Schizosaccharomyces pombe: one gene and its partner. Changing the gene in region 1 together with any one later gene gives a genetic interaction. Each region holds a gene or a part of one and is shown on either strand. Other genes may lie near its edges.

Region 1 (3,272 bases):
TTATTTATTGCACTCTAAAGTGATCAAATTAATTCATATTGCTTAATGATCAATTTGAGATAATTGAAAAAATTTTATTATTGATGTTATTATTAAAATACAGAAAAACAAACGTGGTAATAAAACTTAAGCTTATTTGTCTAAGCATTGATGTGTTATAAGTAGATCTCGATTTATTTAAAGAAGATATTAATCCTTCACCTGACGTATTAAATCAAATAGTGCTTTTTGAAGATTTTAACCAATTATTTTGTCAATAAATTGCAGGCTAACTGGCTGTCCATAAGTTATATTAAACTGTCGAATTTATAAATAAATAGTTCCAAACGCTTGGGTTGTGGAAAGCATTCAATGTCTATATGCAACAAATTGAAAATGAGAGTATCACTAGATGAAATCAAAAGTCTAGAAAAAAGATAACTATGAATTATCATTCATTTCATTCCTTAAGCTTAAATCAACAATTGCCTACTTTTATAAAATCATACAATTGAAAGTACATACACACCGCTTCAAAATAACTTACTGTTTAGTTTTAGCGCGATTCTATAAACCGGAATTTCTTAGGCAAATATCCATAATCATAAGTAACCAATCCTTTTGTATTTTGAATATAAATACTTATTATGAATTTGCTAGCGTCCCTTGAACCATAGTCAACCCAGCTTCTCTTTGTATACTAGATTAACTGTTAGTCATAATTTAATCAAACTTTAGTTAAAACAGTATATAGTTTACGACATACCCATCTACTACAAACTCCAAATCTTTACCAGGCTCCAGAATATTTCCATCATTTGTCTTCCAACGACCTTGTTCTTCCGTAGTATCGGGCTCAATAAAAATCCAATCTTTAGGTATAGATTTTCGCGGAATAGATGCATTAAAAATACCCAAAATTAATAGACCAATATGACTTGGACTGACTAAATTAATTTTTCCTTCTAGTGATAGTTAGCATTTATTTTGGAGTTGGTATAAAATTTTGCACGACTGAATTATCATGATACAAATCCATCATAGAATCTCGAATTTCTAAGCATTTCATACCTAAACAATCGCCTTTTTTGGGAGAAAATACTAAAACGTCTACACGGACCCATATAAAGGAGAATGGGGAGTCATACATGACCTTTGCACTTTTTTCCAGGAATCGAATATTGTCGTACGCCAACACTATTCCATTGATTCTTGGGAGTTTGCTAAGAATCATACTATCCATATGCTCCTGAATAGCATTTAAAGGATCCCTGCTGTGTCCAGGAGCAATGGAAAGGTATAAATCTACAGTCTGTTTGTAGAGTGATAAATCCGGCATGTTGGCGGAACGCAAATTTCCTTCATCGACTGCATCCAGTTTTACAGATATGTTCAAGGGTAAACAAAGCTCTTCAATTGATCAACCAAGGTCATATATAACATATCATGTCTTCGAGAAAGGTTAACAGCTAAATAGGCGATACTATGGCATCAATAGAAATGCCAATTCTGTAAATGACACCATGTCACTACAGTGCTCAAGACATTGAAATTTTTTTTTTAATTACAATAAGAAATACTTTACCTTTTTTTTCTCTTATTTAAATGAAGAATATTATTGAGACAAAATAAGTGAATCGCTCATTACTATACAAATAGTGTCTATTTAATATAGCTAAAATTATTTCAAGATTTTTTTGATATCTTATTGAAAAAAAGATTTTGTAACGCGACTACCATGGAATGGTTGCCATATTCTAAGATGTTCCCAAATAAATAGTCAATTCTTAACCGCTTATGATATGGAATTAAAAGTGCAATACGGTTAATTTAGCATAAAAACTGAAATTCCTTCCTAAAGCTCGAACGTTTTTCAGCTTTGAGACTGTACATTTAGAAACGAAACAAAGGTAATCAAACCCAAATAGTAAACCAATGTTTCACATAAAACTTTTTCGCCCTAATATATAAGAAAATGGAATGCATCTAGTTTTTAACAGGTCGGAGCTTAAAATTTAGGGAGATGAGACTAAAGCACAATGCTTTTAAATCTTGAATTAGGTAGTAGAAAACTTTTAGCCCTTCTGGATCATCACTATTTTGAACGTCTGCCAAACTTCCAAGTTTACAGGTCTAGTAGTTTATATTAGCTTAAAAGTATCTAGAATGAATATATTTATGCCAAATGAAGAGCAATCTTACTTCAAACATGATGTGTTTTCCATTCATACGAATTTCAAGTTCCTGCTTACCATCTTTATTTTCAGGTGGCCAACTTTCATCTGATTCTCTAAATAGTAGTTAGTATAAAAAATTGAAAGAAATGACTTGCTTTATGATCTCACTGTCATCTACAATACGTTGAACTTCTTTTAAAACAAGCTCACTGACGAACACTTTAAGGCTTTGTTAATACGATCGAACAGAAATGTAGTACTAAAACATACTCTCCTTTCGGATTAACGAATCGTTCCGATAGTTAGAATTGTTTGCGTATCTAGCTAATTGAATTAGTATTCATGTCAAACCACTGTTGCTAATATGAATCAGAAAATTGTTGACTCTATTCATACCTAGCCCATCACTATGATAATCGAATTCTAGCAAATGTTTGGTTAGCTGCGCGACCTTGCGTCTAATATTATCGCGTACCCAAGAACTCGTGTCCGAATCGACCATGGTGTCCCGAGCTTCAGTCAGTTAGCATTCAAAACTATTTACAGCTTTTTTGCATACTAGTATCGAACATAAAAATCACTCATTTTCGAGCAAATAGGAATATGATGGCTTCGATGACTACTGCTGAGAGGTAAACTCTTGGTCAAAGATACGAAGCATATAGTGATTCACTATTTTAAATAACACAATACACTAGTGCATCCAATTTTTGGAGCTCGACAATCAAAGTTCGTGGGTAATTCAATATACAGTGTATCTTTGATGAATTCGTTGACATTATATATTGACTGCTAAGTCTATATCTGTAAATCAAAGTCTTTTAATTCCTTAAAGGCTTTTTCCAAATTCAGGTTAAATCTTGACAAGTTATTTTTCTGGGACCTTTTAACGTTCCACGACTTATTTCACTGCATTTACAAAAGTTATTCTGGCACTGTTGCATCTTTTATCGCTAGTTTGTGATCCTTGGGTTGTTTTTTATTAAGACTACGGTTTGATTTTTTTATTGTAACATATTAAATCGAGCTTTTGACAGGCTTCATTTATGTTATTTATATATCGACATTCACAGCTGTCATCCAAAAATATTTTTTTTAAAGGTAGCTAAATAAAGC
Region 2 (5,068 bases), on another chromosome or scaffold:
TTTGCGGTGTCGTTTAAAACAGCAACTGATAAAATTTGTTTGGAGGAACAAAGTTTTTTTATTTGGAATCCTTGCGTTGTCAGGAGTTATTTTTAAGCTCATCAATTTTTTTCGTACTCGCAGTATCGTAGCAAAGTATCTACCATCGGCTTCTCGATTCTGTGTAGAATCTTTGAAGAGACAGAAAGCAAATTATCAAATGTCTCGATCTCAAGAACCCGTTATACCACTAATCGAAATGCATGATATACTCTTTCATGGAAATGGCCCATTGGAACAAATTCATATGACGAAAGCAACTGCTCGAACTCTTTGGGAAGCAATAGTCGAACGTGTTGAACAAGTTGGCAGTGTAAGAACTCGTGAATCAGAAGTAGACGGCGAATGGACCCGTGTATGGGAGTGGGTCGGCACAAATACTTTGGATTTCCAAACCGATCGTTCATTTATTAATACAACTTCCCCTTTACGTGAATAATGATTCTCGACTGTATTTCTAGCTTTGTATTTATGACATTTTTCATAGCTAATACAAAAGTAAGTTAATAATATATTTATCTGAATGCTTATACATATTAAAAATGAAACATAAAATTGGTATAATGAGGACTTGTTTGCAAGGTTGATGAAATTTAACTGTATTTCTTATATTAATGTGATTCTTAGTTATACCAAATAAATTATTTTAAAATAAAAACCAAAACCAGTACCATTTTTGATTGAATATGGGCATGTCTAGAGTAAGAAATTAGCGGAGAAAAAATAGGACATGTCACATAGAAAGGGTATTTAAAAAAAAATAAAGGAATTCAAAAGGGAGATTCACCCAACATTACGGTTGAAGATTCGTAGTCTGTGTCTTCTTCTTCCTCGTCATCATCCAAACCTGGAATTTGTTGCCATTCGTTATAAAATGGTTGAACAATTATAGAAGACTTCGTAAGCCGGTAAGGATCAAAGGGAAAATAGGCATCCATAGTGTCGAACCCTTCTCTAAAAATTCCTTTTCTGTTTTGCTCAATAATGGAATAGACGTACATAAAATTGAGATGATTTGCAACCTTTGCAAATTGAAGTACAATATTGGGGGAACAGTATCTCAATGGATTAAGCCGAGAAAGAACGGACCGATGAAGTATCTCTAAGCCCGGTATCCATTCGTTAGGTCTTGGCTCCATGGATTCAGACTCATCAGAGACACAAAGTTCACGCCAACGAAAGCAAAATATGTAAAAAATACTTTGATTAATTGCGTAAAAAACCGAGTGTTTAGATAGTAAATCATCGGACAGCTCGTTTTCACATTGATCTAAGTAAGCTTCAACCCAACGAGTCATCATATTAACGATGATCTGAATTGTATTTTTTTCTAAAGCTTTGGCTCTAGCAACGTAAGACCCAATATACATTGCACCACTTAATCTTAAAGTATAAGGTTGTGATGGGTCAAGACAAACTTCCGTAAGCACTCCAAGGAAAATATCAGTAAACTCGGGATCCAACTGAGAAGCCCAAAATATCAAAAATTGAGTATATCGACAACGGAACGTTTTAAGGACCGTGTTCACAAATGATTTAATCAAACTATTATAAACCAAGTAACGATCTCTACTAGTAGATTTTAAATTGGAATCTAAATAAGAAAATAAAGTATACAATAGCTGATCCAGTTGCTGCATCAATTGACGAGTGTCTGTTAATGAGGGAGGAGTCAATATTGTGCTAGATGTCATTTCACTTGAAATAGCAGTATGCCGTTCATATAACGTTGAAGCTGTAATAACTTCAGAATCGGCATTGCTAGTTCCATCATCATCTGTTACCACTTCATCCTCCTCCTCATCATCATCATCAACCTCTACTTGTATTTCCACATCAATTTGGATAATTTTATCAATTATTGCATGCAATACAGGACCTTTAATTGATGGTACATATTCACATATACTTAAAACGTTCGAAATATAAGTCATCTGTGCTAAAAGGCTCTCGTCCTTGTACGGAAACTCCTCAAGTATGCTACTATACAAGAAGGAATGCGCACGGGGAACAAGTTCCAACACATATTTTAAAGCCATATGAGCATGTTCATAATGGATTGCTAAACTATCAGGCCGATACAACATATGCTGAATCAGCATAGTCATAACTAGCGGCAAGTAATTAGATTGTGCAGATATGAGATTTCCTAAAAATCGAGTATAGCATCTCACAAAGGACTCATCTCTGCTCACCCAAACAGAATCTAGTACGCTCATAACTAAAGAAGAATTAGAGCTATCCAATCTGGAAACATTGCACGTCAAAGCCGACAATAAGTTTTGAAGTTGCAGAGAGGAAGGTGCATCTTTAGTATCACTTTTTGCAGCAAACTGTCTTCTAAGATCTTCATAACCGGCAAAATTTCCTTCTGCTTTGTCGTCCAAAGCTTTATTGACGAAAGCACGTAACATTTGTTGCATTAATCGTCCATCATTTTTGGAAACTGAAGAGGCAAAACTTTTGGAACCTACAGTACGATCGGGAACATTTGTAGAAGATGCCATTGTCCCGTTGTTAACACATTTATTAATATATTGAGGATTCGTAGAGGAAATGATGGAAGGCATTGTAAAGACGAGATAAACACTTGCACTAATCACAGATAAAGGAATGGATGCAAACAAAAAAATAATAAGAATAACACTAGCGGATAAATTCACGTATGGTTATTCTAAACTTTGTAATAGTTAGTTTCAAAGTTAAACCAAAACTTAAGAGTAAAGTAAATGTGGAAATAAACTGTTTCAAGTCAAGTTGACCCAATTGCTTAAAAAACCAAACATTGCTATATCTCTCTTATTAATAAAACATTTCCTTACAATTTCCAAAAACTAAGCCGTTAATTTGCTTCGAAAAGCTAAATTTTTAGAAATTTACAGGACTTCCCACGAATGAATTTTACACCCCAAAAACTTTTCGGTGTCTCAAATGAGTCAGATAAAATAATCAAAATAAATTTGTAAGATAAAACAAATTTAAATTATAAGAGTGATCATTAATTCATTCAACGTAAAAGCAAACCATGTGTGGCGGTTGGCAGAAACTATGCTAACAGTTTGTAAAGAAAATTTGAGTATATACTGAAATGCAGCGCATTGCGCTCTTTGCTAAACAATGCAATATAGATACCGATTTCTAATGTATGCTAAGTTAAAAACTATGTAGATACCAAATTAAGTGTAATATTAAACAAAGAAAAGTAGGGATCTTCCAAATAAAACCGGATCGAAAATCAATTAAACAGAATAAATAAAGCGTGATAATTGTTTTCTTCAAATACCAGAGTTCCTTCGATTACTAGTAGAACGTCTGCGGCGCTCTCTCAAAGATGCATTTAAATCTTTGTATGCCTGTTTGTACATTAAATACATTTTTTTCGATAATTCGCCAATATCCTTGTTACTTCTTCCTGAAATATAATAGTAGTTTTCATCCTGGTATGTAAAAGCGACACGACGATATGGACCAGAAACGTATTTATCCTTAGGGATTATAGTGGCAGCATAGGGATAAGTAGAGTTATCCGGTGTTGGGTTTAAAAAGGAATTTGAGCGCTCCATCCATGCAGGAATAGTGGTAGTCTTCATGTTGATGTTAGGCTCTGCCAAATAAATTGCAGCCGCACCCTGGCTAATGGCACCTAACACTTTGATCTTTCTGTTATCCTTAACCTCTTCATCCGGTTGAATTGTACGACATGAATGGATGTAAGGAACCAGGCTGGCATGTAAAAGTGGGTCTTCTAGCATCTCACGCACGAATGGATTTCTCCCTCCAGTTATGAAAACAGCACTAAAATTATCAAACGTAAAACCATTTGATCGATAGCATTTTGGATTGTTGAACTCATTCAGAGTACAGAGAACGCTATATATGTCTAAGATTTCCTTAGAAGCACCGAGTACATGACTCTTCCAGCCGGTCATATAAGAATCATTAGGTTTCGGGGGTCTTGGAGGAAATATGGATTCGGCGATTACGAATTCAACTACAAACCCGCGATCTGTAAAATACCTCCAAGGTAGACATACTTGCTCCAACATGAACCCCTTATCAGCTAAAACGATAGCTAAATGAGGCGACAATTTGGCATCCTTACCAAATACCGGAGCATTCACTGAAATGAGGTCGTGCTTGGGATGAATTGCAGCATTATAGTTGTCAAATGAGTTCATTTTTGAAACCTGAAAGGAAAATGCCATCGTGCTTAAAAACCAGTTAATCCTCCTTTTTTAAAAAACAATTTAAAATTAATAGCACTGTAGATTGTATATTAGTTATATGTCTTACACAAGAAACCTGGAAAAGTGGGTAAAGGGATGATTGACCCCCTTAATATATTACCTTATGTTTAGGTCAACCAAAATGACACGATTCTACAGGGTTTCGATTTTTTACAAAAATTTAGCGGTATTCAGAACGCCTTTCGCTTCTTCCAAAGCTTCGTTCAATGGGTAGTGGTTTGACTTGCTGATCATATATAATTTATGTATTTGATTATTTACAAATCACCTAATTGGTAGAAATACTTTTTTAACAATTTGTACAAAAGCATAGATCTTTTTGTTGCTTATAACTGTAGAATACAATGTAATAGGTTTTCATCAATTATGCTGGCCTGATCAAATATATGAAATTAATCGAATCTGTAAAAGGACTTAGTTTTACAAACTAACTTAGCATTCAGGACATTTCATCAATTCACCAACATTAATTTACATGGGCAAGGAAACTGTTGCTTTTTCTGTACTTTTAATTCCTACTTTAACCCTCTATGAACTAGTATGCGGCTCAAAGTCTCCTGCACCGAATTTCCAATTCAACAATGGGTTGAGACTTCTAGTCTTGAATTAGTTGACTCTGTTAATTGTGTGGCAGATTTATGCCATGCCATATGGATGTTTAATGGAGGATGTGCGGATTGGAGGCTTCAAATACTTAAAGAAGGATTTACAGTTCCGATGACGGGAATTATCTCACAATATCTTAAAACTGACGACCACATTAAAATTGTGAAGGAAATTTA

The links. Genes that interact genetically often act in the same process or in processes that back each other up.
Region 2: of rpa43 (region 1) and rrn3, extra expression of one rescues a mutant of the other (dosage rescue), as found in Schizosaccharomyces pombe (one study listed by BioGRID).

Annotation. Positions count from the first base shown.
Region 1 is NC_003423.3:3,999,913-4,003,184, forward strand, and holds rpa43 (DNA-directed RNA polymerase I complex subunit Rpa43), read right to left. Parts: upstream 1,332-3,272; 5' UTR 1,319-1,331; coding exon 1,051-1,318; exon of another isoform or gene 945-1,050; coding exon 746-944; exon of another isoform or gene 680-745; coding exon 625-679; 3' UTR 555-624; downstream 1-554. Other genes in the region: mnh1 (protein mago nashi), read right to left, coding at 1,966-2,112, 2,182-2,269, 2,312-2,375, 2,427-2,480, 2,553-2,579, 2,632-2,669, 2,716-2,741. UniProt on the Schizosaccharomyces pombe protein: DNA-dependent RNA polymerase catalyzes the transcription of DNA into RNA using the four ribonucleoside triphosphates as substrates. Component of RNA polymerase I which synthesizes ribosomal RNA precursors.
Region 2 is NC_003424.3:2,236,187-2,241,254, forward strand, and holds rrn3 (RNA polymerase I general transcription inititation factor subunit Rrn3), read right to left. Parts: upstream 3,078-5,068; 5' UTR 2,862-3,077; intron 2,719-2,861; 5' UTR 2,610-2,718; coding exon 810-2,609; 3' UTR 526-809; downstream 1-525. Other genes in the region: lem2 (LEM domain nuclear inner membrane protein Heh1/Lem2), read left to right, coding at 1-478; SPOM_SPAC18G6.12C (uncharacterized protein), read right to left, coding at 3,315-4,244; SPOM_SPAC18G6.13 (uncharacterized protein), read left to right, coding at 4,827-5,068.